Sus scrofa: one gene and its partners. The protein of the gene in region 2 interacts with the protein of the main gene of each other region in a biochemical or structural test. Links are inferred from orthologs where the notes say so. Each region holds a gene or a part of one and is shown on either strand. Other genes may lie near its edges.

The links.
Region 1: the proteins of ACTB (region 2) and SPTBN2 form a complex in vitro, tested with the Homo sapiens proteins (2 studies listed by BioGRID). The link is inferred for Sus scrofa from reciprocal best matches to the Homo sapiens genes ACTB and SPTBN2.
Region 3: the proteins of ACTB (region 2) and HIP1R form a complex in vitro, tested with the Homo sapiens proteins (2 studies listed by BioGRID). The link is inferred for Sus scrofa from reciprocal best matches to the Homo sapiens genes ACTB and HIP1R.
Region 4: the proteins of ACTB (region 2) and PFN1 form a complex in vitro, tested with the Homo sapiens proteins (2 studies listed by BioGRID and IntAct, with this or other methods). The link is inferred for Sus scrofa from reciprocal best matches to the Homo sapiens genes ACTB and PFN1.

Annotation. Positions count from the first base shown.
Region 1 is NC_010444.4:5,711,653-5,716,153, forward strand, and holds part of SPTBN2 (spectrin beta chain, non-erythrocytic 2), read left to right. Parts: intron 1-2,355; coding exon 2,356-2,468; intron 2,469-2,591; coding exon 2,592-2,779; intron 2,780-4,501. UniProt on the Homo sapiens protein: Probably plays an important role in neuronal membrane skeleton.
Region 2 is NC_010445.4:4,087,161-4,092,338, forward strand, and holds the start of ACTB (actin, cytoplasmic 1), read right to left. Parts: upstream 3,224-5,178; 5' UTR 3,099-3,223; intron 2,386-3,098; 5' UTR 2,380-2,385; coding exon 2,257-2,379; intron 2,125-2,256; coding exon 1,885-2,124; intron 1,438-1,884; coding exon 999-1,437; intron 901-998; coding exon 719-900; intron 589-718; coding exon 445-588; 3' UTR 438-444; exon of another isoform or gene 1-437. UniProt on the Homo sapiens protein: Actin is a highly conserved protein that polymerizes to produce filaments that form cross-linked networks in the cytoplasm of cells.
Region 3 is NC_010456.5:30,020,953-30,026,072, forward strand, and holds the start of HIP1R (huntingtin-interacting protein 1-related protein), read right to left. Parts: upstream 3,392-5,120; 5' UTR 3,203-3,391; coding exon 3,110-3,202; intron 1-3,109. UniProt on the Homo sapiens protein: Component of clathrin-coated pits and vesicles, that may link the endocytic machinery to the actin cytoskeleton. Binds 3-phosphoinositides (via ENTH domain).
Region 4 is NC_010454.4:51,960,637-51,965,774, reverse strand, and holds PFN1 (profilin-1), read right to left. Parts: upstream 3,134-5,138; 5' UTR 2,934-3,133; coding exon 2,802-2,933; intron 1,338-2,801; coding exon 1,145-1,337; intron 569-1,144; coding exon 471-568; 3' UTR 205-470; downstream 1-204. UniProt on the Homo sapiens protein: Binds to actin and affects the structure of the cytoskeleton. At high concentrations, profilin prevents the polymerization of actin, whereas it enhances it at low concentrations. By binding to PIP2, it inhibits the formation of IP3 and DG.

The DNA of each region.
Region 1 (4,501 bases), on a different chromosome or scaffold from region 2:
GGTTTGATCCCTGGCCTCGCTCAGTGGGTTCAAGATCTGACGTTGCCATGAGCTGTGGTGTAGGTCACAGACACAGCTCAGGTTTTGCGTTGCTGTGGCTGTAGCATAGGCCCGCAGCTGTAGCCCCAATCTGACCCCCAGCCTGGGAACCTCCATATGCTGCATATTTGGCCCTAAAAAGCAAAAGAAAGAACCCAACTAGTGGGAGTTCCCATCATGGCTCAGCAGGTTATGAACCTGACTAGTATCCATGAGGATGCGGGTTCAATCCCTGGCCTTGCTCAGTGGGTTAAGGATCTGGCGTTGCCGTGATCTATGGTGTGGGTCAAAGATGTGGCTCGGATTCGGTGTTGCCAAGGCTGTGGCATAGGCTGGCAGCTACAGCTCCAATTCGACCGACCCTTAGCCCAGGAACGTCCATATGTCACAGGTGTGCCCCTAAAAATGAAAATTAAATAAAATAAAATGAGAAGATTGGTCTACATGGTGTCTAAGGGACCTTCTTATTCCAAAATTTTAGGATTCTAAATTAAGTTACGTGACTTTGAGGTCTCACCAAGCACTGGCCTTAGGTTCAGCTGACCCTGCTGATCGGCCCCTGTGATTCTGATCTAAGGCTGACGAGACTGCTAACGGCCACTGGGCTCTTGTTGTGCACCTGGCACTGCACTTGCCACGCTCCAATTCCCCGAGTCCTCACAATGCCCCCTTTGAAATCAATATCCTTATTATCCTCCGTCTATGGAAGAGAAGACAGGGGCCTCTAAAGGTTAAGTGACTTCCCCAGGCTTCTGGCTGGTGGAGCTGAGATTGAAATTCAGGCAGCCTGGCTCTAGAACCTGCTTCCTCAGCCTCCTCTGCTGGAGAGCAGAGGGCAGTGTTGGTGCAGCCAGAAGACAGAAGGACAGAAGGGCCAAGGACCTTCCTTGCTGGAAATGCTCCTTCTGAAGCTCCCTGGGCAGCTTTGGGTCTTTGCTATTTTCTCCCTGTTTTCCCTTCCACCTGCGGCCCCGGGTCCCCTGCCCTCTTAGTCCAGAATGACAGACATCGGCTAACTAGTGAGGCGAGTAGGCTAAGCATGAGGTTTCTTGGAGAGCCTTTGAGGAGCATACCTGTGATAAGGAACATTTGAGTAAAGTCTAATATCCTGTAACTTTTGAGTTGTTGTCTTTTGAAGACCGCACTTGTGGCACATGGAAGTTCCCGGCCTACCGCACAGCCATAGCCACACCAGATCCGAGCTGCGTCTGTGGCCTACACCACAGCTCATGGCAACACTGGATCCTTAACCCACTGAGTGAAGCCAGGGATCCGACCCACGTTCTCATGCATACTTAGTGGGTTTGTTGCCACTAAGCCACAACAGGAACACCTTCCTTCCGTATCTTTCTGAGAGGTCGTCCATGGCTCCTGCCTGCCTATGGGGTGTCAGAGGTGCTCAGGAGGGCTTTCGCTCTCATAGTCTTCCCCGAAGGTAGGATACAGTCTGGCCTAATTAAGAGAACCCAAGGGCATTCCTGTTCGGGCGCAGCGGGATCAGTGGTGTCTCTTCAGCGGGAGGAGACAGGTTCGACCCCCAGCCTGGCACAGGGTGTTAAAGGATCCGGCACTGCTGCAGCTGTAGCATAGGTCATAGCTGTGGCTCAGATCTGACCCCAGGCCCGGGAACTCCATAAGCTGTGGGGTGGCCAAAAAAAAGAAAGAAAAACGAGAACTCTGGGATTTCAAGTCATAGTCAGCCTTGGTCCTTGGTCCTCGTGGTAGAAGTTAATTTGGCTTGAAGGACACTCCCCTTCTGGGCCCACAGCTGAACTTTGGGCTTGCGGTCAGAACTAGACATGACTCTGCTGGAAGATGGCCCTGAGGCCTGGCCTCTGTCCCTGCTGCCAGGGCTCCCTGGCCCCCTCCCTATGGGCATCCTGGGTTCAGGAGGCTTTGTTTGTTCATTCTGTCTTGCTGCCACTAAACTGGATGACTTCATGGACATCGTTCTAGCCCATAGGTCCATGATCCATCCCCAAACTGGAATGCTCTTTCTTTCCTTGTCGCTCTTCCTCCCAATGACCAATTTTGGTCTCCACTGGGAATAATGGATAGAAGCCTCCTCGGGCTTCTGGGTTTTATATTCTGCTTGTTTCTAGCAAGGGAAAAAAAAAAAAAAAAAAAAAGGTTAGCTTATCATGCACTTTTAGTCCAAGTGGTTTCTCTGTCATTTTGCTCTGAAGGGAGCTGGAAAGATGTCAGCCTTCGAGGGCTGGGAGGGCCCGGGACTGGAGTCTGTGATTCAAGTTGTGGGTGTGCTTCTGGGAGGCAGGTTTCTAGTCTCCGCCTGACCTGAGCGCTCCTTCTTCTCAGACGTGAACGTGGACCAACCAGATGAGAAATCAATTATTACCTATGTGGCTACTTACTACCATTACTTTTCCAAGATGAAGGCCCTGGCCGTGGAAGGCAAAAGAATCGGCAAGGTAGCCTTCACCGGGGCGGAGGCGGGGCGTCAAGGCCGGAGGAGGCCTGGTCGAGGGCTCCTACAGCTTTAAAGCAGGAGCGGGGGAGGACGGGACCGGGGAGCCCACACCACTGTCTTGCAGGTGCTGGACCACGCCATGGAGGCCGAGCGCCTGGTGGAGAAGTATGAGTCCCTGGCCTCGGAGCTGCTGCAGTGGATTGAGCAGACGATTGTGACTCTCAACGACCGGCAGCTGGCCAACTCCCTGAGCGGGGTCCAGAACCAGCTCCAGTCCTTCAATTCCTACCGCACCGTGGAGAAGCCACCCAAGTAGGTGTCCTGGGCCACACCGTGGCACAGCTCGCCCGCCCCAAGCTGGGCTCGCACAACGGGAAGCCTCAGTTTGGGCGGCCTTTGGGGAGGGAAATTTGGCAGCACTTAAATGCAGCCAAGCCTCATTGCCCCAGCTCAGAGCACCAGAGCAGTTCTAAAATTGCATTTTTTTTTTTAAATGACTCCGTTACAAGAAATTATGCTGTGGACATGAATGCTGTGGTTTGTGGAGTCGATGCCATCCGACTGGCACCATCAGGGTGTCACAGCAACCCAGCCCCAGCTTAAGGACGAGGTCTTGGACCCAATGGGCAGGTCGTTGCTGGCCACACCGGTGTGTGGCTGATAACTTGCATGTTGCCCAGGGTCTTATCATGTAGCTATTTTAGCAGCTGACTGTGGCAGTGTGGAGTTGCTGTTGGGCGAGTCTCTACAATACCTGCCCAAACTCTTGTGTTTTTCTGTTATTGAGTCTTTTGGAGTTAATATGTCTTGCCAAGCTAATATTAATCCAGAAAGCATCTCTTCCTGTGGAGTCCAGGGAATGATTTGACGTGTGCCCTTTGACCCAGAAAGTCCTCTTCTGGGCATCAAACAAATATGTCGCTTCCAGGGTGTTCACTGATGTGGTCTTTGTAAACAAAAATAAGTCACGGGATAGCCCCTGAAAATAGTATTGGAGAAATGCCTTTATTGACCTGAAAAGATGTTCATGAAGGATAAGTCTTGCCAGGCAGTTATTTATGTCAGCAGAGAGCAAGGGGCTAAGCATCCAGGTTCAAAGTACCTGAGTTCAAATCCTGGCTCTACCACCTAGCCGTCGTGAGCATTGGGCAACTGATGTAGCTTGTCTGTGCCTCGGTTTTCTCATTGGGAAAATGGGATGAGGGGAGAATGTAGATGAAGTGAGAGCAAAATAAGTTAATTCGTGCAGAGCTCTGGGAACGGGGCCTGACTGTCAGCGAGGGGTCCTTGACACATGTTGGCCATGGCTATGATGTGATCTAATATGCGTAAAGCAAACATGCAGGATGAATGTGCCTGTGGGTGACAGTGGTCCTTTCTCTGTGGTTTTGGATTGGCTCAGCAGTTGATGAACCCGACTAGGATTCATGAGGATGCGGGTTTGATCCCTGGCCCTGCTCAGTGGGTTAAGGAGCTGGTGTTGCCGTGAGCTGTGGTGTAGGTCACAGATGCACCTCGGATCCCCAGTTGCTGTGGCTGTGGTGTAGGCCGGCAGCTGTAGCTCTGATTAGACTCCTAGCCTGGAAACTTCCATATGCCGTGGGTGCAGCCCTAAAAAACAAACCAACAACAAAAAATACAACAAAATAAAATTATGTTCTTTTGGAGTTTCCTGGTGGCTCAGTGGATTAAGGATCCAACGTTGTCACTGCTGTAGTTCGGGTCAGTGCTGTAGCACAGGTTCAGTCCCTTGCCAGAAGAATTCTGCCTGCCACAGGTGTGGCCAAAAAAAACTAAACTAAACTAAATAAAATTAGGTTCCTTTTTTTGGCCACGCCCACAGCATGGGGACCTTCCTGGGCCAGGGATCAAACCTGCGTCACAGCAATGACCTGAGCTACAGCAGTGACAACACCAGATCCTTAACCCGCTGAGCCACAAAAGAACCCCCGGCTTTCTTTTTTTAAACGTGGTTTGCTGGTGTTTTCTGGCTCTCACACGAAGAGCACACAGAACCCTTGATTTTGAAGTGGA
Region 2 (5,178 bases):
AAAAATGTTGGAGTACATAATTTACACTAAAGCGATGCTACTGCCCTCCTCGGGTGGACCTGGGCGAGGACTGGCCCTTCTCCTCAGGGGGAGGCGGGGCAGCTTTTGGGAAGGCAGGGACTTCCTGTAACAATGCATCTCATGATACTTGGAATGACTATTTAAAAAAAAAAAAAAAAAAAAAAAAAAAGAACAATGTACAATCAAAGTCCTCGGCCACATTGTAAAACTTTGGGGGATGCTCCATCCAACCGACTGCTGTCACCTTCACCGTTCCAGTTTTTAAATCCTGAGTCAAGCGCCAAAAAAAAAAAAAAAAAAAAATATCAAGACAAAAAAAAAAACCAAAAAAACAAAACCAAATAAAGCCATGCCAATCTCATCTCATTTTCTGCGCAAGTTAGGTTTTGTCAAGAAAAAGGTGGAATGCAACTAACAGTCCGCCTAGAAGCATTTGCGGTGGACGATGGAGGGGCCGGACTCGTCGTACTCCTGCTTGCTGATCCACATCTGCTGGAAGGTGGACAGCGAGGCCAGGATGGAGCCGCCGATCCACACGGAGTACTTGCGCTCTGGAGGCGCGATGATCTGGAAGGAGAAGGGGACAGTGAGGCGGGTGGCGGTCAGAGCCCTGGTCCCCAGAGCACCCGCTCCGCGGCGGCTGCCGTGGCACCCACGCCGCCCGGCCGCACCCGGCCAGCTCAGGCTGGGCACTCACCTTGATCTTCATCGTGCTGGGCGCCAGGGCCGTGATCTCCTTCTGCATCCTGTCGGCGATGCCTGGGTACATGGTGGTGCCACCCGACAGCACCGTGTTGGCGTAGAGGTCCTTGCGGATGTCGACGTCGCACTTCATGATGGAGTTGAAGGTAGTTTCGTGGATGCCGCAGGATTCCATGCCTGAGGGGGGAGAGAAGCCCGACTGAGCTTCCGCTGTGGCCACCACCGGGTGAGCCAGGGGGGGCGGGGGGAAGGCAGGGCCAGGGCTGCGTCCTCACCCAGGAAGGAGGGCTGGAAGAGCGCCTCGGGGCAGCGGAAGCGCTCGTTGCCGATGGTGATGACCTGGCCGTCGGGCAGCTCGTAGCTCTTCTCCAGGGAGGAGGAGGACGCGGCAGTGGCCATCTCCTGCTCGAAGTCCAGGGCGACGTAGCACAGCTTCTCCTTGATGTCCCGCACGATCTCCCGCTCGGCCGTGGTGGTGAAGCTGTAGCCCCGCTCCGTCAGGATCTTCATGAGGTAGTCGGTCAGGTCCCGGCCAGCCAGGTCCAGACGCAGGATGGCGTGGGGCAGGGCGTACCCCTCGTAGATGGGCACCGTGTGGGTGACCCCGTCTCCGGAGTCCATCACGATGCCAGTGGTGCGGCCAGAGGCGTACAGGGACAGCACGGCCTGGATGGCCACGTACATGGCTGGGGTGTTGAAGGTCTCGAACATGATCTGGAGGGAGGGAGGGACGCTGTCACCCTCGGGAAGCCGCCGGGGGCAGTCAGGCCGGACTGGGGACATGCAGAGAGTGCAAGGAACACGGCTAAGTGTGCTGGGGACCCCAGGTCGGGGAGTCACGTCAGACCTACTGTGCACCTACGGGATACACACTCCGAGGCCCCTTTACGGCAGCCTCGTCGGCTTTGTCACACGAGCCAGTGTTAGTACCTATACACCCACAGCACCTTATGCTTTTAACACCTAGTCAGAAAGGCAAACACGAGAAAGACTCCAGCTGGGGAAAAGCAAATAGAACCTGCAGAGTTCCAAAGGAGACTCAGGTCAGAGAAGAAAAGTCCTAGGAAAATGGCAGAAGAAAGAACAAGTGAGAAAGGGCGTGGCAAAGAGGGGCAAGAGAGGAGGGGGCGGCCGCCCGAGAGAGCCCAGTGGGCCACTGACCTGGGTCATCTTCTCACGGTTGGCTTTGGGGTTCAGGGGGGCCTCGGTCAGCAGCACGGGGTGCTCCTCGGGGGCCACACGCAGCTCGTTGTAGAAGGTGTGGTGCCAGATCTTCTCCATGTCGTCCCAGTTGGTGACGATGCCGTGCTCGATGGGGTACTTGAGGGTCAGGATGCCTCTCTTGCTCTGGGCCTCGTCCCCCACGTAGGAGTCCTTCTGGCCCATGCCCACCATCACGCCCTGCGGAAGGAGGGGCGAGGCGCCTTCAGCCCGGGCCCGGCCCCACCGGCCCCCACGCAGAAAGCCTCCCCCTTCCCTCCACCTGCTACCAAGACCCCACCCACCAAGTCAGACCCGAGGGCGGCGCCCTACCTGGTGTCGGGGGCGCCCCACGATGGAGGGGAAGACGGCCCGGGGAGCATCGTCGCCCGCAAAGCCGGCCTTGCACATGCCGGAGCCGTTGTCGACCACGAGCGCAGCAATATCGTCATCCATGGCGAACTGCAGGGGCAGCAGGACCGTGAGCCGGAGGCCGGGTGCGGCCGCCTCCGCCCTACTCACTTCCGGCGCGACGCGCGTTCGAGCCGCCAGGGGGCGCCGGCACGCGCCCAGATTGGGGACAAAGGAAGCCGGCCGGCCGCGTTATTACCATAAAAGGCAAACGCTGGTCGGAGGCGGCCCCGAGGCGCGCGGCAGGAAGCCAGGCCTCCGCCCCCTCCCCACTGGGCGCCAGCCCCGCCCCGCCCAAAAAGCGCCACTCGGCGGGCGCGCGGCGACCACACCCGGGGCGGCCCGTGGCTCCGCGAGGAAGTGCGCGCAGGCGCTCTCGCGCCGCGGCGACCCCACCCCTTCCGGCCGCCCGCCCCGCCCTCGCCTCCTGGGCCTACGGCGCACACGCACGCGCACTGGCGTCCCAGCCCCCACCCGGCTCGGCCACCGCGCCGCGCCCACCCACCCGCCCCGCCGCCCGGCTGCACTGCTCTCCCGCCGGCGGAGCGATCGGCCCGCTCGGACAAAGAATCGCCGCCGCTAGGGCTCCCAAAGAAACACTCTGGGAGCGCTCCCCGAGCGCAGCCCGGGCCCCGAACGAGGAGCGCATGAGTCCATTCCCGGCACCCGGCCGGCTGTCCACGGGGCCGGGGCGGAGGGGGCCACCTGCCCACAAGAGGCACGGGCCCAGCGCATCAGCGGCCCGGCCGGTGCGGGGACCCTACCTGGTAGCGGTGTAGACCGGCGGCGAAGGCGGAGCGGCAAGGGCGAGGGGCCTGTGCTGGCGGAGTGGACGCGGTCTCGGCTGTGGCTGTGCGTCGCGCCGCCGGGTTTTATGGGGCGCAGTCGCGGCGGCTCGAGCCATAAAAGGCAACTTTCGAAACGGCGAGCGCTGATTGGCCCCGCGCCGCTCACTCACCGGCCTCGCCGCACAGTGCAGCATTTTTTTACCCCCTCTCCCCTCCTTTTGCAAAAAAAAAAAAAAAGAAAAAAAAAAAAAAAGAAAGAGGGAGGGAGATGGACTGGCTAGGAGAGAGCGAGAGCGAGATTGAGGAAGAGGAGGGAGAGAGTTTTGGCGTCGGCCGCCCTTGGGTGCTGGGCCCCAACAGTGGGCCGCCGCCCGCCTGAGCAGTGTCGGGTCCGGCCCCGCTTGGCCAGGCCTGCACCCGGCCTGCTGGTCTCCGGGTCTCCCCACCCCGGCACCCTCCGAATGTGGATGCCCCAAAGCAGTGAGCGCCCCTGTGGGCAAGGGTCAGCACGGATGCGAGAGTCCCTGGTTGCTGTGGGTGCATGCTTAAGGAGCAGGTGGGGGAAAGGAGTGATGAGAGAGTCACCCTCCCCTTGGCGACATTAGCTCTGCTGCCCAGAAAGCCTGGGTAAGGGGGGGCCCCGACTGGGGGTGCTGAGCTTGCTAAGTGGGGGTGCTGAGCTTGCTAAGGGGGCACATTACTTAGAGACCGTGGGCTTGAGGGCTATGGTGGGGCATGCTTGAGTCAGGGGACTTGGAGACACGTAGCAGGGGCTTCAGGACTGCAGTCTCTAGGGACAGGACAGGCCCCAGGGGCTGGGGGCTGGAAGTTCCCCGTGAAGAGGGCTCCAGGCCTCCCTTGCTGCAGGCCCAGGAGAGGTGGGCTCCGTAGAGCAGAGAAGCTGTTCCCATGGAGCTGGGCTGCGGCTGAGGCTGCCTGGTCACACCCAGCCAAGGCCAAGCCTGGGCCATTAGCTGGCGACCCAGGCAGCTGCCAAGCACTGCTGGCTGCAGGCAGGCAGGGCCACTGAGCACAGCTCTGGGACCCACCATCCATCGTCTGTCTGTCACGTGCAGCCACAGCTGAACTGCCCTCCTAGACCATCTGGAGGCCACCAAGGACTGGGGAAGGACATTCAATGTGCCAGAGAGGAGTTAGGGGGAGGGGGGTGGGGCAGCAGGGACCAGCTGGGGCCCACTCCTGCCCTGGTCTCTCCACCAAACACGGGGTCAGACCTGGGTGCCCCCGGGTGTTCCCAGTGGTTCCCTGCTCTGGGAACTGCCTGTCCAGCAGGGAGAGCCTGCACCCAGGCGGGGGCCACCAGTGGGCAGTGAGTGGCCGAAGGAAGCCCAGCGGGGCAGCGTGGAGGTGCACCTTCTCCGAGGCCGTGACAAGCTGAATTTTCCCACAAAGGAAACAGGGCAGAGGGGTCCAGGTGGGGGCCCTGGCCTGCCCTCGGGCGTCTGTCTCCAGGTCTGCCTAGGGCTTTGCTACGCATAGTAGGTGCTCCTTGAGTGTGTGTTGAAACCAGCGAAAGATTAGTCCATATATGGGTGTGGAATCTGGCCAGGGAAGAGGCAGCTTGGTCCAGCCCCCTGTGGGAGGCCAGTGGCAGGGCACTTGGAAGGTTGCAGAGGCTACAAACAGGTAGGAAGGGTGACCGTCCCCCAGCGCACAGCAGAGCCTGCAGGCTCAGGGCCACCAGCTAGCATTCCCAGGGAACAACTCCCCCAACCCCGCCCCAGGCCTGGGCGAATGTTCCCAGCCCATCCACTCCCTCCCTCCCAGGGGCCAGACTGCGCTCCCTGTCCCAGGCCTTGTGTCTCTCAGTCGTGGGCGAGGGGCCAGCCACCTCAGGACCTGCCAGCCCTGTGATTCGGGGGTTGGGGCGGGAGGTGGGGTTTGCTGCGGGTTGATGGGCTGCCAGCCCGGTGGGGGGGCTGGTCACACTGGGACCACTGCAGGGCCCCCCGGGCAGGGCAAGGATGGAGAGCCAGGCTGGTCCCCAGGCAGGACCTGTGCTGCCACCTGGCCTCTTCTCAACCAGGGCCAGCCA
Region 3 (5,120 bases), on a different chromosome or scaffold from region 2:
TTGAATGAGATGGGCAATTTTCGGGTTCAGAGCACAGGTATACTGTATTCCACAGTATTCAGAATACAACAAAAAGTCAATAAGATATTTTGTCACTTCCATTTTGAAAAGGGGTTTTATCCCAAAGGGACTAAAATCATGAGGAAGAACAGACCGGTCTTCTGGACATTGCCACTGGGATTGTACACACACACTCACATACTCGCATCATGCAACAATCATAAGCACCCACCGTGAGAAGAACCACTGCCCTCCCTTCACACTTCCAACCAGGGCGGGGAAGGAATCTTTTTGCCAAACAGGGTGTGGCCTGTCAAGAAAGCTATGGAAGTGTTTTTCCTCCTCTTGACCCAGGAGGAATCGAGGCCAGCAGGATCGTGGGGACTTAAATTCTCAGGAAGCTTGGGCCTCCCATTGTGGCTTAGCAGCAACAAACCTGCATCCATGAGGATGCAGGTTCAATCCCTGGCCCTGCTCAGTGGGTTAAGGATCCAGCATTGCCGCAAGCTGTGATGTAGGCTGGCAGCTGTAGCTCTGATTCAACCCCTAGCCTGGGAACCTCCATATGCCGCACCTGTGGCCCTAAAAAAAAAAATTCTCAGGAAGCCAAAGTACCCCTCTGCCACACAGGGCACTGTGGTCAATGTGAAAACACAGGCGGTGCCTTTCAAAGGGCAGGTTCATCTGTGGGTTGGATGTACAATTATCTGCCCAGAAGAAGACGTGTAAGCAGCGACCTCAGCTCTTCACGTCCTTTCCACCAACAGGGCCTGGCTGGCAGCTCACTAGATATTTCTGGGAGCAAGCTAATTAAATATTAACCATGCACAAAACCTTATTCCTACATCCCTCCATAAGTCACTTTGAAGACAAGGGAATCTAGACATGAGCTCCATCTTTCCAGAAAAAAAGAACCCTGGAATGGGTAAATTCTAGGAGATTCGCCTATTAGAATTATTCAGCATAAGTAACCCTCTCGGCCCCTGAGAAAAACCCAACCAGCAAAAACAAAACCCTCTTGTTTACTAAACCAACCACCAAAATGTGTGGTGCTGTATCAGAGACTGTTCCTTTTTGACATTCAGGAAGGTTTATAACAATTTAAGAGTAAGATCAATGAACTTGGCCCTTTAAACCTCACCTCCTCCATGTAGCAATCCGACCTCTTTATACCTCTTCCAAAGCACGGAAAAAAACGGAAGATCAGTGAATGAATAACGCTCTGACAACATCCAGATTCTCTCTGCCAATTAACTTTTTTCTCCCTGTCCTTCCTCAAGTTTCTGGCACAATTAATTTTGCATTAATATCTTTACACTAAATGCCACATTTGTTTTTTCCGTTTGTTTGTTTTTTTTTCTTTTTAGGGCGGCACCCGAGGCAAATGGAGATTCCCAGGCTAGGATCCGAGCTGCGTCTGTGACTTACACCACAGCTCAGGGCAATGTCGGATCCTTAACCTATGGAGCGAGGCCAGGGATCGAACCACAACCTCACAGTTCCTGGTCGGATTCGTTGCCACTGCACCACAATGGGAACTCCACCACATTTGTTTTTATGACGTTCCATCTTGGCTGAAAATACACCGTGGGCCAGATGATGATGATGATCACAGGGATAAATGAGTAATTAGTGGCTATAAGTTGGTTTAGCACTAGGCTTTTGTAGAGCCAAGGTTTTATTATCATTTTCCTGGTTAATCTCAAGCACAAAGGTTAGATGTTTCCCCTGCATTTTTTCTTACTTCAAAACGAAAGTGGCTGTAGGTTGCATGTGCTAACTTGATTTGAAAGCAACCACAGAAGTTACTGCTCTGGGCAGGGAGAGGTGGTAAGGAACTTGCTAATGGCAGACACATATGTCACCACCCTGCTTCAGACAGGGGTGAGCATGGTCCTTTTGGCTTATTTCTAAAGTAAAAAATGTTCTGCTGTTTGTTTCAGTCTTGGCTAACTTATTTTGGCAAATAAACAAGTAGGCTCTCCTCTCCCGGCCCCCAGGCATAAGAACACCTCAGTGTTTGTAAAATAAAAAGGAACAGAAAACCAGAAACACAGCAACGCCCTAGTCAGTGTGGTCTCAGTAGGAACACATGGAGGAATATACACCCCCGTCATTGTTTCATTTTTAAACTAAACTTCCCAGGATAGGCCACCCTCTGGAAGAGATGCCCAAGCGTGGGACGTGCAGGAAGGGAGCCCCAGGAAGTTTCTGTCAGGCGCCGGCATTTAATAAGGGGGTGTGAACCTGTTTCTATGTGGGCCAGCGCTCGGGCAAACAAGTCTGGCTACATACGTGAAACTTTTCGCCCAGCAGATAATAAGATATTGTGCGGCCCTGGAAAACAGCTCAGGAGAAAAGGAAGCAGGGAGTTTCCTTTAAGGAAATGCATTGCTTTCCCAAGGAGGGGGGCATTTTTGCAAGGCGTGTAAGAAGGTGGCAGGAGCTGGGAGGGGAGGCGCCGCCTGGGCAGAGAAATGCAGTCGGGTCGCCACCGTCGGCCGGACGCATCCAGGCCCGGGATGCGCCTTGATCCCCACCTGGTCCACCGCCCGGTCTAGGCCCCCTTCACCTGGGTCCCACTTTTCGCTACCTCGGCTCCCAGCCAAGTTGGTCCCCGTACGCATCTCAGTCCCTGGACTCCTCTGTCCCCGGCCACCTCGGTCCCTGACCACCTTGATCCCCGGCCGCATCTCAGTCCTCGGACACTTCTGTCCCTGGCCACCTCGGTCCCCAACCGCATCTCAGTCCCTGGACACCTCAGTCCCCCACCACCTGGGTCCCCAACCACCTGGGTCCCCAGTCGCATCTCAGTCCCCGGCCGCATCTTGGTCCCCAGTCACCTCGATCCCTCCCCACCTGGGCCCCGGGCGCCGGCGCGCGCTTCCGGTTCACCTGCGCGCTGGGCGGCTCGGGTGGCGGAGGCCGGGGAGCTAGGTGGCCGTGACCGAGAGGCAGCCGGGGGAGCGAAGTGGCCGGGGAGCGAGGTGGCCAGGAGGCAGCCAGAGCCCTGCGCGGTCAGAAGGCGGGCGCAGGCCGAGCCCCGAGGGACCCGTGTGAGGGGAAGGGGAGAGGGCGCCGCCCGCCCGCCCGCGGCCCCGCCGCTTGCCTGGGTCTTGTCGAACTGCTCGCGCTCGGCCTCCAGGCTGTGGCCCGGCCTGCGGCTCAGCACCCGCGCCGGCACGTTCTTGATGCTGTTCATCCTTCCGCCGCCGCCGCCGCCGCCGCCGCCGCCTGTACACCCAGCCCGGACTCAGAGAGTCTGAGCGATTCCAGGCCGACCGCCCAAACCTAGGCACCAAGAGGAGCCCGCCGCACAGCACCGCCCGCCTGCTGGGGGAGGAGCCGTCCGCCGCCCCGCCCCTGCCCGGGGGGCGGTGCCGGCCACCCCCCCGCCCCGCCCAGCCCCGGCCAGCCTGGGCACAGGTCCGAAGGGGGCCCCAGCCCTTCCACACCCCTAGCCATCGCTCAACTCTCCTCACGCGCACTCTCCACCCCAAACTCAGTAAGTCGGATCTGGTTAACTGGACAAAACCTAGAGCCAGTGAATCTACTCAATGGAAGCACAACTAGACATCTTTTCTTTCCTATATTTATGTGTCAAATGCATACAATTGAGCTGTCCACTCTGTGTGCATCGCTAATGTAACTGCAACTGTTATCAACGCGGGACTGTGGGATGAATTTTCAGAGACTGCAGGCTCCGCAGGCAGACACCCTGCCAGAGCTGAGGCAGGGCTGGGGCAGCCCACAGTCAGATCTGAACCACAGAGCTGGGCCATCAAACTGCATGAACAGATGACACAGGAGGTGGTGTGAGACTTTTAAAAACATTATTACTGGTTTGCTTTTTAAATTATTGGTCCACAAGACTTAAGTTTTAAAAAAAATCACAGTGTTTGCTTTCAAATGGTTATTTTGTTTCTGCTACCCTCAGCTTTCCTCTCAGAATATAGGTATGAAGTCACCCAATATAGGTACTAAAGACTCCCCTTGAGACAGTACCCTGAAGGTTGTCTACCTGTCTATTCTGTAACCTCACTGGTTCCTCACTGCCTAGTCCCAGAACTGATACCGGGAATGTGAAAGATGTATTTGACAAGCCTCTCCTCTCATTCCCCTAAGGAGAGGAATTAACCCTGCTTTACTAATTCCAATCACTGAAAAGCCTCTTTACTAGAAGAACAATAGCTAATATTTACTGAATGCTTATTATTTGCTAGGCACTGGGCTAAATCCTTTACATGTATTATTTCATAATCAATACCATAATCAATAGCTGTGGTGGAAATAAGCCCTGCAGTGAAGGAACTTGCAGGCTCCAAACTTTTTTTTTTTCCTTTGGCTGCACTCAAGCTGCTACAGTGACCTGTGGTGCCATAGTACTCCCAGGCTCCTTTTTCCACACCCAACAAAAGCACTTATCCTGTGAACTTCACTCTTAACACAGCATCTTTTTTTTTTTTTTTTTCTTTTTTCTTTTGGTCTTTTTGTCTTCTCTAGGGCCGCTGCCACGGCATAGCCACGGCATATGGAGGTTCCCAGGCCAGGGGTCTAATTGGAGCTATATCTGTCAGCCTACACCAGAGCCACAGCAATACAGGATCCGAGCCACGTCTGTGACAGCTCAGCTCATGGCAACACCGGATCCTTAAGCCGCTGAGCAAGGCCAGGGATTGAACCCTCAACCTCATGGTTCCTAGTTGGATTTGTTAACCACTGCGCCACAACGGGAACTCCACACAGCATCTTCTTTTAAACCAGGCAACAACTCCTCTGGGTCTAGAACATCTACTACAGCAACCAGCAACCAACTACCACTCTTTCCAATAATAAAGAGTTTATTGGCGTTCTCATTGTGGTGCAGTGGAAATGAGTTTGATGAGGAACCATGAGGTTGCGGGTTCAATCCCCGGGCTCGCTCAGTGGGTTAAGGATCTGGCGTTGCCGTGAGCTGTGGTGTAGGTCGAAGACATGGCTCAGATCTGGCATGGTTGTGGCTGTAGCATAGACCAGAAGCTGTAGCTCCTATTTGACCCTTAGCCTGGGAACCTCCACATGCCACAGGTGCGGCCCTAAAAAAAGAAAGAAAAAAAAAAGAGTTTAATACTGTGGCAGGT
Region 4 (5,138 bases), on a different chromosome or scaffold from region 2:
CCTGGGGCTGGATGTGTTATTGCGGAAGGGCTGAGCCACCTGCCAGGTAGACCCTGAAGCAGATGTTTAAGCCTGGACACGACAGCAAGAAGCTTAAATTCCTAGATGTGCAGTGCCTCAACCCTAACCCCAAGCCAGAATGGAGGAGGCAGGTCATGGTGGCTGTCCTCCGTCCTGATACCCAGGCTAAAACCACACAGCACCTTGTTAGAATCTTTTTTTATTCAGAAAAAAAAAAAAAAAAAAAAAAAAAAACCCAAAAAACAAAAAAAGTTTTCCAACCACACACAGGAAAGGGTATGGGTTGGGGGAGGTGTCTGTCCATCCAGCCCTGGCCCCCAATCCACGTGGTTTTGGCAGCAATAAGGGGTGTGGGGTAATGGCCCAAAAAATAAAAATGGTGGATGTGTGTGTGTGGGAAGGAGAGGGGTGCAAAAGCAGTGGGGAGTGAAGGGGAGGGACAGACGAGGTCAGTACTGGGAACGCCGCAGGTGGGAAGCCATTTCATAACATTTCTTGTTGATCATACCACCGTGGACACCTTCTTTGCCCATCAGCAGGACTAGCGCTGGAGGAAAGAGAAAGGAGGCTAGGACCCAGGTGTCACAATCCCACTCCCGCCAGCTGTTCAGCAGCTGTCCAGCCCTGGGGGCTGTAACCCAACCTCATCTTTCCCAACCCCCCACACACAGGCAGGCTGTCAGTCACCCTGAAACAATAGGGCTTTTCAAAAGGGGAAAATCAAGCTTAAAGGCTGGAAAGGAACACAGTAAAATTTAGGGGTCAAAGGCTCGCAGACAGTTGACTCATGTGTTCAGGCTAGAAATGGCTGTGGATGAGCCTGCCACCTCCAAGTTTTAACAAAGAGCCCCAAAGACAAGAGCTCAAGTGCCGACTTAGAACTAACAGCCTACCTCCTCCAAGAAAACCAGAGAGTTTCCCAGCTAAAAAGACTCAAGGCAAGAAGGAACTTAAGAGGTAATACAGTTCAACTTCTTTCTAAGATGAGGAACTGAGACAGAACTAGAGGGACAATCCAGCGTCCCAGGCCTGATCCCTTCATACTGGGGAATCCACAAAGAAAACCCGAAAGATTAGCAGAAGGAGGTCCATTAGGGAAAGGGCAAAAAACTCAGAAACTCACTCTTGGCAGTCATGGTGACAGTGATATTGAAGGTGGGGGCTCCGCCAGTGCTCTTGGTACGAAGATCCATGGTAAATTCCCCGTCCTGCAGCAGTGAGTCCCGGATCACAGAGCATTTCTGGCCCCCAAGCGTTAGCCCATTCACGAAAAAACTTGACCGGTCTTTGCCAACCAGGACACCAACCTCAGCTGGCTGGAAGGGGAACCAAGCACCATCAAGTTAGTCAGTACCCCAAGGTTCCCACCTTCTCCAAGGACCCACCTGCCTTCCATTTCTTCAGGAAGCTAACCCCCCTGGGAGGGGTGTATGTTATGTGCTTTGTACACACCAGTGAAATTTGAGCAACTCAGGACTGTCGGAAGTTCGTGCACAAAAAGATCATGATCCTCAAACTTAGGAGAATGGTAACAGAAAGGGACGACATATTCCCCTGGAGACTTAGATGTCATTTCTTGGGAAAGCAAACCCAGGAAATAAAGGGGGCCAAAAAGGAGTGAGGAGAGTGGAGTGGAATGGACTGGAGAGCCTTTGGATGCTCAGAAGTCTCCTTCAGGAAAAGCAGAAGCGAAGAGGGGAAGGGAGGGGGCGGGCGAAGCAGGAGAAGCAACTTTGCCCTTATTTGGTCAAAGGTTCTACAGGAGTTGTTAGGGGCCCGGACGCCTGGGTCTCTAAGTAACCTTGAGTTCAGGTCCAGGTATCTGTGCTCTAAGAGGAGGAAGCAAGATGTCTGGGGGCATTCCGGGAAAGTTGAAAAACTTTTGGAGGGGGCCTGGGGCTAGACCCAGCAAGCCAGCTCTCGGGTCTTGATACCCCAGGGAAACTCTCTCCCCTCCCCCTTACACCCCAAATCCCCACATCCGGTCCCCTCCCGCCCGGAAATCCCCTTCCCCCCCTTTCGAACTTCCGCTCCCCCTCCCCACTTCCGGGCAGTGTGGACTGGGGAGGTGGTGAGGGGACAGCAGAAGTCATCCCTTACTCCTTCACTGATAATTCAGTCCTAGAACTTCTCACAAAGTTCCCCTGCTCCAGGCCCCGCCGGATGGCGGGAAGGGAGGGCGAGGGGACTTCCGGGATCGGTCTCACAGGAATGTTGAGTCTAACGTGCCGACTGCGGGGGGGCGGAGGGCGTGAGGCGGCCTAGCCCTCTCTAACGGAGCTGGGAGGGGCAGGGAGCGCAGAGGACGGGCATGGGACCTTGGCCACGCGAGCCGGGCTCCCACCGCATAAGGAGGAACAATGGTGGAGGGGGCGCGAGCAGGCGGGCGGAAGTGGAGCTCAGGGTCCAGGGGTCCCCGAGTCCCTTCTCAATCACAATCCCGGGTTGAAACTGCAGCGTGTGCCCGCCCCGCCCTGGAGGAGACGGAAGTGGGCCGCCGCACCGGGCGGCGCGCCCCTCCCCGCCCTGTGCCCCGGATGTAACGCCCCGTCTCGGAGAGCGGGGCCGGCGGGCTGGCCGGGCGCCGCCGCCCGGGACGTACGACTCGGGGGGCCCCGGGACGGACCGGCTCACGTGCAGCCACCATTCGCGCCACTTCCAGGGCCAGGAGCGACCACGGCTTTTCGCTGCGCTCTCCAGAGCGTGCCCGCCCCCACCCAAGTCCCTCCCTCAGGGTCCAAGCCCGGCCAGTTCCCCAGACCCCGCAGGCCTCGCAGTACCGTGATGTTGACGAAGGTTTTCCCGGGGACGGCGGCCCAGACGGAGGGCGAGTCCTTATAGCCCACGATGGCCGCGTCCTGACAGGTCCCGTCCGCCATGAGGTTGTCGATGTAGGCGTTCCACCCGGCCATGGCGCTGCTACTGGGGCTGCTCTCGGGGCTACTGCTGGGGCCGCGGGTTGGGCTCGGGCTGCCTCGGACTGGCGGGCGGGGGAAGGCAGAGAGCTTGGGGCACGCGCTGCCGTCCGGACCGCGGCTCTGCTAGCTGTGCAGCAGCCCTCGCACCGCCACTTCCTGCTCCTCCCCACCCCCCTAGATTTTTATTTGCAAAGGGCGGTGGGGGCGGGGCCTACTCCTCATCCCCTCCCTCCTCCTTCTCGCCTGCCCAGATACCGAACTTTGCAAATGCAATTTAAAAAATCCCTCCCCCTATTGCAAAATTTGCCGAGTTCGATGGGAACCGACGCTGAAAGGATGGGAGGCGGGGGGGTTAGAGTTGGGGCTCGCGCCAATTTGCATAGAATATTAGACTTTGGTGTAGGGAAAGAGAGTGAGCCAGAGGGAGGAAGGAAAGTGAACGGAGAAAGAACTAGCGAGCTGCAAATTTAGCAGATTAAGAGGGTTCGGGGAACTCAGGGTTAAACGGAACGACTCCCCCTTCCCCCACCTCTGCTGTGGGGTTGCGGGGGGAGGAACGGCAGGCGGCGGCAGCGCGTGCGCCCGCGCCTGCGCCGGGGCAGAGAGCGAGAGCGCGTGGGGCGGTTAGGGCCGGCCGCCGGCTTCGCGGGCGCGCGCCGGGGCGCGCCGGGCCGGGCCGAATTGGACCCCCAGCGAAGGAAGGCGGGCCGGGGACGTGTCTGCTGCTGGGCGGAAGGGGCGGGGGTGAGGCGCGCACGTTACCGCTTCTGCACTCTTGATTTTATTTATTCAAGAAATAAAGGCAGTAAAGGGAAATTTGACAAAATACCCCGACCATTTTCCAAGTTGAAGGCGCCCACCGGGGACACTTCTGTCCTCAGCATCTGCACGGCGGCATAAGTTGCACTCGCTGGAGCCCACCCGACTCCACGGGGATTATCCCTCGCGCTGGATCAGCTCCAGCCTTAGGCCTCACTCCATGACTGTGCCCCGGTCAGCAGTTTGGGTCGCCGTCCGTCCCCCTTACCCTGTCTCTGCAGAGGTCACTGAGCCTCGGCGCCCGCGGGGCGCGGCGGGCGGGCCTATTTTTCAAGGCGGAAGAATACTAGGGTTTCAACATGCAACTTTTTCAAGAAGAGGAAAGTCCCTTCTACCCTGGCCCCCTGGGCCTTTTTCCTCTTCTTTTTTCAGTAAAACTTATGCTAAGAAATTGTGTGCGAAGAGTTCGTTCGCCGCCCGCTGGGAAGCGGGTGGGGTTAGGACCCGGCTTAGGTGAACCAGCCCCGGCTGGCCGCCGGGTCCGCTGAGGGGCTTGGCCGCTTCCGGTCCCTCGGGGGAGGGGCGCCTCCCGGGCGTGAAGGGGCTTCGTACCTTCCCCGTCCCCCCCAGAGGGGTGCGGTGCTCCCGAGGCCGCTGCGAACCCTAAAGGCACCCGCCGCCCCCCGAGCCTGGTTCCTCGACAGCCGCCGTGGCTGAGTCACTGGCCGGCCCGGGCGGGGCCGCACGCGGGCACGTGGCGGCGCTCCCCGCCCGCCGTCTCCTGACCTCTGGCCTGCCGCACCCCCTACCCCAGGGTGGAAATCTCCCGAGAGGGAGCGGCCAGAGATAAGGGGGGGGTGAGATGGAAGACGGGAGTAGGGATCCTGGGGTGGGGGCTGGGAGACCGACCCCGCAGGGCAGGCGGGGTGGGGAGGAGAGCTCGGGAAAGGGCCGGGGGTGAGTCACCAGGCGCTGGCCGCTCCGGCGCCTGCGGGAAGGACCTCCGAATCAGGGGCGACGAGCCGAGGCGCCGGTGACCCTCGCCCTTTGGCTGGCCAGCCTGCTGGCCCAAGCCCCAGCGTGCCCTCCGCTCCCGGCTGGGTTTGCAGCCCAAGTCGGCACAGACTTCACTCCCGCCCAACACGCCCAGGCGGAGAAATTCACCAAATTCCGAGACGCGTTTTCCCGCAGGGCTGTTAGCAGACCACCCAACTGCCCCCCCCCACCCGCCACGGCGGTCAGACGCTCAGAAAGGGCCACACTCCTGTTCATTTTTTTTCACTTTGCTTGAACACCATTCATTGATAGACTGGGATCGCGACCTGAAGCGCCCGCCGTCGGTGGGGAAAGGGCTCCTGACTGGCAGTCTCCACGCGGGGCGATAAGTGCTGTCCCAGCGCTATCAGTAGGGCGCTGCGCCAACTCCGAGGACTGGTCTAA